Linked DNA regions of Nothobranchius furzeri. The protein of the gene in region 1 binds, or shares a complex with, the protein of each later gene. Links are inferred from orthologs where the notes say so. Each region holds a gene or a part of one and is shown in the gene's direction. Other genes may lie near its edges. The genes, in order: ndufaf1 and tmem186.

Region 1 (4,378 bases):
ATGTTGTGACTTGGCACACATATGGCAATAAAAACTTCTGATTCTGATTAATACACCGTTTATCTGTCTGTGGCATAGTCAAATTCTGCTTTTTATTCATGGTAATTGATCACAACTACATGCACATTGGGGAATAAAACTAGGCCAATCAAATATACAGCAACTCGATATGAAGAGATGGCACAATTATAACACTTGCATTTTATTTGTACTACCATATAGAAATGAAAAGCACTCAACGACTAATAATATATTGATGATTTAGTTAAAAATCAGCAGAAAACAATTACATAAACAACTCTAATTGCTCTTTACATCAATCAGGTTTCATCTGCGGTTAAAAATACCTTTTTATCAGTCATTTAAAAAGTTCCCCAGTAAACTTCCAGACTTGTTTATAGTCACGGCTTCTACACTAACCCGGTTTATGTGACCTAACGCGCTCCGGTTCTGTTATCTCTGCTTCTGCTCAGGACAAGCCGGGTTGTTCCAGGAGCTTGTCTCAAAGCGACATGTTTTACCTCCAGCACTTGTTTATCAACAACACCAAAATAGAACTTCAGCTCCGAGGTCATGACGTCGTTCACATACGGTTCGAGCTGAAATCAAATGCGGCTCTAGAACCGCATTGTCTGCGCTAACAAGTCTCACCATGGTAAAGTCTGTCACTGAGCAAAACATACCCCAACATAGCACCATCAAAGCCCTGCAGCTAGTGACTGGAAACCATTAGGAGGCCCATGGCGCGGTATTTTCATAACATAACATTGCATGATTGCTAGCATTAGGCACATCTCGTAAAGCAACCTAGCAGCGGAAACATTCTATAGAAGGCCCCGCTTAGCTGAATGCAATGCAGAAACACCCTGGGGGAAGACGTAGCATGTTAATAAGGTGTTTACTTTTAAAGGAAAATAATACTGGGCCACTTTCAGTCTTTCAGCGAGGCCAAACACAGCGCAACCAATTAGCATCCGCTAGCTACACCATAAAACTACTGACAACTTAAAGAGTCACTAGTAAATAATAAATTTGAAAAATGCCACTCTACCTCATCCAAGTTATCATCACTGGCGCTGTCTTCAGAGTCGGAATCAATCACGACTCGACCTTTCCGCTTCTTGACGTTCACCATGATTAGCCGCAGAGCTAACCCTACTAGCTACCCCTGTGTCGTTTAATGGTTGGGATTAGCTGCCGATGCTACTTAGCTGCTTGGTTCTCGCCATACAAAGACAATACCGAGCATGCGCGCACTGGCGTCACAACATGAAATAGATTCTCTAAATACACCTAAAACAATCATGCGATAGTTTATCTTTAATTATATTCACTTCTTGTCCATACAGCTTAAATTACTGAAGTAATCCAGCAATGAAACAAAAAGATTCAGCTAGATAGGAACCATAAGTCTGCGCCGAGTGCTTTTGTCAGGATACAAATTGGTGGTGCACCAGACCAAAGCTGCGTTCAAGAAGACTACAGCAGCTGTCCCGGTCCGCCTCGAATTTTTGCACCTTTTTAACCATAATGGTTGACTGTAGGTTGAACGCAGCTCAGGAGTTTCCGCTCAGCTTCATGCTTGGACCACAAACAACCTTGGATCTGTGAATACGAGGAAAAGAGCAGATTTCAGGTCGTCAGAGTTTCATAACAGTGTTGTATTATTGTTTTAAGGCGATAATATTAAACTGTATAAAGTTTACGACCCTCTTACGTACCCGGCGAAAAACAACGTTGACAAACGTAAGTATGAACGAATTATTTGCTGTACAAAAAAATTCTGTCAGGAACATCTGGAGCAAAATTTATGTATTTTTCTAAAATTTAGATTGCAATTATAACAACTGTTAGAAACAAATGTAAACATTTTATTTGAAAGTTAAACAGAAATGTCCATTATTTTCAAGCTATGCTTTGGAATAAATTCAGATATAAGCAGGGTAAATATGTAATTTAAAAAATACATACACGTGATTATATCAGATAATCTTATGCAAATGTAACTTATGTTCTGCCACATAAAACACATTTTCTTTGAAAGAGCTCATTAAAACACTAAGATTGCTGTATTTACATCTTGCTAGTCATATTCTATTGTCACCTGTATAACTCAATATTAATGGAACCATTTCCTGTGTGATCCATCCCAGTAGTCACCAGGTTGAAGATGTCTCTCCCAAAAGTTTCCCATCTCCCGCCGTTGAGGTTGCTGAGCTCTATCCATAACCCACATCTGCTCCTTTGCTCCATCGCTCCTCCATCTGTTCCCAGAAGAACTTTGAGCCAGAGTGGATATCGGCGGCCTGGCAAAACGAGAGATGACAGGCTCCCGTGGCAGAAGATCGACTTTGACTTTTGGAAGGGTGTGGAGGGTATAAAGAAGCACTTCAAACTGCTGAAACAAGAGCTCACTGACCCTTTGATTGGTCCAGAGGGCAAACCAATCCTGGAGCACATGAAGGAGCAAAACCGGGTGGTATGGGAATTCAGAGGCCCCGAGAGCCTGGCGGGGTGGACGGTTTCTTGCGATAAAGAGATTGGAGGTCAAAGTGAAGTTTACCTAAAGCTTGGAAGGAACGACACGTGTTTTCTGTATGGGACCCTCAATTCTGCTCCTCCGAAAGATGGAGAAACGCGCTACAGCGGATACTGCACCATGCGCTCAAAGCAGCCTCTGGTCAGCGCTCGCCGTAGATTTTTCTGCCATTGATGAATACCTCTGGACTTTTAAATTCACTCTAAACTTTTTGTCTCTTCTAGGCATCCTTTGACAGAAAAAAGCACTTTGACTGGTCCAGTTTTAACACCCTGCACCTGCGGATCCGTGGTGACGGCCGCCCGTGGATGATTAATATCGCAACTGAAAATTATTTCTCTCATCAAAAAGACGACCTTTACACCTACTTCCTGTTCACCAGAGGAGGACCTTACTGGCAAGATGTAAAGGTGAGCTGATGCACTTTTAAGCCCTAGACTGATTAACTCACTAACACTTTTTATTTTTGGCAGATACCCTTCTCCAAGTTCTTCATCACACATCGAGGGAGGATACACGACCAACAGCATCCTCTGTGGCTGGACAAGGTATCATAAAATCACAACAAAATACCAAAGACAAGAAAATAACGGACACACACGAGAACTGTACTTCATGTACCATGACCTGCAGCTGGCATATTGAATATAATTGTCTTTCTGAGATTTATTTAGACTTTGGCTTATATTTTCAGATTAATACCATCGGGTTCACCCTGGGAGACAAAGCAGACGGCCCTTTTCAGCTTGAGATTGATTTTATTGGCGTCTGCAAAGATTACGCTCACACAGAGGACTTCGCTTACGAGATGTACAAGAGGAACCCAACAGCTTAGGGGCCACCACAACGCAGCGTTTAAACCGTTAAGCAGCCAATTAAATACAGATGTGTGGAAATTCCTCGTCTTCACTTTTTTTTTTTTTTGCATTTCTGGTCAATTTTAAAACACAAATCGGTTAAGGGGATCAAACGGTTGTTGCTGTTGATCTTTTACAAGTTAAACAGACACTCTTGCTGCTTCTTAATTTTCCCGTTTAGTTTAAATGACTTCTCTCAGTAAAACAGCAAAGTGATTTCCATGTGAGAGTTTTTTGTTGTTTTATTGTAAAAGCAATAATAAAAGCATTCAAGAGACATTTTATTAAAGCACAACAAATCTTTTAGGTCACCATTTTAATCCAAATATTCATCTCAAAATGGAAAACAATAAGTAAAAGTTTTTACTACAAAAGGATAAAAATGATTATTATAAACAAACAAATCTACAAGCTGAGTAAAGCAGACTGAATCCATGTTCTTACAACTGGCTCAGGAGAGCACGGATGTCTAAATTATTTACATGAGAACAGGAAGCTTGAGAAAAATGCAAAAGCGTTTCTATTCCATGACCAGGCCTCTCCTCGCTCCGAGCAGTTTTGTTTTCTTCTGCTTCCGGTCCTCTGCTAGTATTGCCCTCCGGTCGTCCCTGTAAACACGACACGGATCAGCCTCAGGAGGCGCTTTACAGGCAGATTGTTGTGATGAGAATTTCTCTCAGGCTCACCTGGACTGCACCTTGTGTTGTTTGTAACTTTCCTGACGCGAATTGGAGATCAGAGATTTGTTTGCAGATGCATTTTCTTTAGCATCTCCAAATGGCTTCAGTTTGCCTGCAAAAAAGGAAGGAAGCATCAGTGTCTCAGAACAACACAACTTACGGTCTTTGAGGACAGTTCCGCACCTTTGTGGGGTTTGTAGTTGAGCGGACGCGACAGACTGGCCTTCAGATCAAAGGTCGGCTTCTTTTGTGTTCCGGGTGTGGTTGAGACGTCACCAGTAAAAACAAACAGTTCTTTAATG
Region 2 (3,518 bases), on another chromosome or scaffold:
TCCAGGTCTAACTCCACACCAGTTGCACCATTCTTACTGGCCTGCAGGTAAAAGCATTGGAGAACCAAGTCACCGTGAGCCAAAAAAGTAGATGCATTAAAATATCACATTATAAACATTTTGACGTGTGTCGTACACACTTTGGTTTAGTTCATTTGAAAATAAGCACGTTTAGATTTCAATCTCCTTAAATGGTTAGATAGTGCAAATGTAACCTGGGAGAGCTGTATCACACTGTGTGTGTGTGTGTGAGTGTGTGTAAATTGTGTGGGTGCAGCACTGGGCCGATTGGGGGAAGCTCAAGTCATCGTCACTACCTTCATACATGTTGGTTTGGTGAAGACAATTCAACTTCCCCCTGGATTTGAACTGGTCTCCCTGCCCTGTTTTGTAGGCACAACCTGCACAGACCGAGCTTTTATTTGGACTTTTAGCTTTTGCAATCTTTAATAAATTATCTATTTTTGAAGCGATCCGATTCTGTGCTTCATTGCCCACATTAATGCTGGTTGGTCAGACTCACTTCATGTAACATCTTGGGGGCTGATCTGCGGGTGTTACACAAATGTGTATTAAAGTGGAGGTATTACATTTTTAATCAATGACTAACTAAATCTCGCCATTAGAAGAAACAGCCGCTCTAGGTCGTGTGAAGGTTAACGGTTTAACGTCTTCCCTCCCCAGTGTCCCTTCTCACCTCCCGTATGGCTGCTATTGTGTTCTCCGGTGCGTCGTGTCCTCCGCCCCGGTGAGCGATCACAGACACCTTACCGCTGCCCACTGCACGGGAGTCTGGATGCAACACCTGCCGGGCTCGGCTGGTCGTCACCTGCGGGAACCGAAACATGGCTAGAAAGAAGTAGAGGGAAGCGGTGAGGACAGCCGACCACACCGGACTCCGCGTCCCCAGCAGGACCACCACGAGGACAAGTGAGTAGAGGGTGACTTCATCTCCCAGCTGAAGCATTGTAGACGACTTCTTGGGTTCACGAGCGCAGATTTTCTTCAGTTTGACATTTTCTTTCCTGTTAAGCTATTTTTCTTGGTTAAAAACGCGATGTTTCACACACATCCATGCTCCGTGTTATATTCTGACAGCAGCTATTAAGTGGAGCATTAAACCACATCTAAGCCGGAGAAAGCTAGAAACTGCTAGGACGGTTGAGCCGCTGAACGACCAAACGGGAGGACAACATTTCAGGTGGCACGTCGTAACGGCTGTGACCGGATGTTACGTAAAACAGGCGCGACCTTTGTCAAAGTAAACCAATAAAACTAACTCGTTATTTCACGAATCACACATTCAATGACATTTATTCTTCTACACTAAAACAACTGTAAATCCCACTTTGCTGGAGAACATATCTCGGAGGCTTGAAATATATTTCATTAAGTGGGGAAAACATTTTTCGACGGACCGAAACACATCTCGGCGCATCCCCGGATGTGGTTCTAAATAGGTTCGCTACATGCCGTTTGCAGCTCTTATTCAGTGTGAACAATTTCATACATTTTTTAAATTAAAATGTATACTTTACTAATGTTTCTAATGTGAGGAGAGTAAACGAGATCTTTAGGAACACACGGTTGTAACATCCGGGTCACAAAGCTGGACGTCTTCATGCCAAAAGTGGACTTGGGACTATTTTTGACTTTACCTGTGAATTAACCAGTCGTTGGCCATGGTGAGCATCATAGTGAGACTATTAATATTACTGTTATTACAGTGTTATCAAATTCAAAGGAATTGGTGGATCAAATAGATCAAACAATCCTACCCGCGAAATGCCCTTGAGCTTGATTTGATTCAGCTAGGAGATTAATTTGACCTCATTCTGAATAAGGGTTAACAGTTTTAATGTAAAACAGATCGAGACTTTATTCTGCTGTTAATATTTGGCTCAATTAGGTGACTGCATATTGCCTGACTGAATGTCGTATTTAATGTTTTTTTTCCCCCACAGATCAGGTCGATGTTGCTGAGCAGATTAACCCACCACACCCTGTCCTGCACAAGAGGATCATGTTTACTCTCTGGACGAGTGTCTAATGGTTTACAGTCTCATTTTTCAGGTCATACACCCATCCATCAGACCTCCCATGGACCCCTCACTCCTAAAATCACAACCTCCGTCAGATACTCAGACCTATCCACGCAGAAATTCTCTATGATTTACACGCTGCCACACATTAAGCTTCTCAGAGTCGTGTCCAGGCTCAAACTGCTCCAAACTGCAATCACTGCGGTCATCATTCCACCCATGTATTTCCTTTACTTCCAGGGTGACGTGTCCTTCTTTCTAGTATGCTACTCTACGGGGATTGCACTGTTTGCTGGTGTCATGCTGTATACTATGAGTCACTTCTTTAGAAGGGTTGTGGGGATGATGTACCTGGATCCATCCCAGACCACACTCAAAGTTTCTCACCTCACTTTTTGGGGCAAGCGTCAAGACACCTACCTACCCGTGTCAGACGTTTTGACCATCTGGGACACAGGAGACATGGAGAATGAGACCATACTGAAACTGAAGAGATACAGTAGTCCAGAGACAATGTATTTTTCTACTTATTACGGACGCGTTGTTGACAAGCAGGGCTTTGAGAGAGTGTTTGGGAGGCTAAAATAATTCTTCATTCAAAATGTGATCAACTAAATCACTGCTTTCAAGTATTGTAATAAGATCCAACAAATATACAAAAATATCCTGTTTTGAAATAAATGATTCAATTTCAATGTTTTCATTTCTTGATTTAAATAAATGTGACTAATGAGTGTCTGACTCTAGCCTCTTTACCTGGCCAGGTGAGTCGGACAGGTAAATGTTTTGATGTGTTTAATATCTGATGGCTCTGCAGAGTGGATCTATTCCCTTTACTGTTGATCTTATTGGTCCATTAGAGGTCTGAATGTGGTCATAAAACCCCCCTGGAGTTTTAGAGGAATCCTGCAGTTGAGTTTTCTTCCAACCTGATCATCCTGCATGGAAATGTGACTATTGATAAATTTTATTTGGAAAATCTATAATTTTTTGGGTTTCTTAATAGAATTCTATATGTTACAGATAAAAAAACTAATATTGTGAAGCAGACTGATTATGGTCTCGTACACAAGTTATAAAAAATTTAAGTTGACAAATTACAAATATCAGAGACACTGCAGTGAGGCATTTTCAATTAAAACATTTTCAGCTATTTGTAACATACATCTTTAGACAAAAACATCTAATCAGTTCTTCCAATAAACATTCAAATAATTACAAGATAAAATCCATGCATTTGAGTTTCCTGTATAGGAAATTTTCTCCAAACTCATCAGAAACACTTTTCCATTGCAACTCAGTCAAAAAAATAAAGCAAAATTATGCTGCAGATTTAAAATGCACTGGTAATAAGCTTTTATCAAACACGAGGGTCAATTATTTCCTGTTTCTCATATCATCTTGTATGTTGTTAAAACCTTTTGGCAGGCCTTTGGAGCATTTAGTGATTATACCAAGAGTCAGTAGATCCCATAG

Evidence for each region.
Region 2: ndufaf1 (region 1) and tmem186 share a complex: the UniProt entries of both Homo sapiens proteins name them as parts of the mitochondrial complex. The link is inferred for Nothobranchius furzeri from reciprocal best matches to the Homo sapiens genes NDUFAF1 and TMEM186.

Annotation. Positions count from the first base shown.
Region 1 is NC_091758.1:19,029,240-19,033,617, forward strand, and holds ndufaf1 (complex I intermediate-associated protein 30, mitochondrial), read left to right. Parts: upstream 1-1,544; 5' UTR 1,545-1,746; intron 1,747-2,153; 5' UTR 2,154-2,170; coding exon 2,171-2,680; intron 2,681-2,763; coding exon 2,764-2,949; intron 2,950-3,012; coding exon 3,013-3,087; intron 3,088-3,233; coding exon 3,234-3,374; 3' UTR 3,375-3,685; downstream 3,686-4,378. Other genes in the region: RNA polymerase-associated protein RTF1 homolog, read right to left, coding at 1,052-1,135; nusap1 (nucleolar and spindle-associated protein 1), read right to left, coding at 3,917-4,004, 4,083-4,188, 4,260-4,370. UniProt on the Homo sapiens protein: As part of the MCIA complex, involved in the assembly of the mitochondrial complex I.
Region 2 is NC_091744.1:5,452,980-5,456,497, reverse strand, and holds tmem186 (transmembrane protein 186), read left to right. Parts: upstream 1-1,419; 5' UTR 1,420-1,682; coding exon 1,683-1,685; intron 1,686-1,964; coding exon 1,965-2,630; 3' UTR 2,631-2,776; downstream 2,777-3,518. Other genes in the region: gde1 (glycerophosphodiester phosphodiesterase 1), read right to left, coding at 1-41, 698-967. UniProt on the Homo sapiens protein: As part of the MCIA complex, required for efficient assembly of the mitochondrial complex I.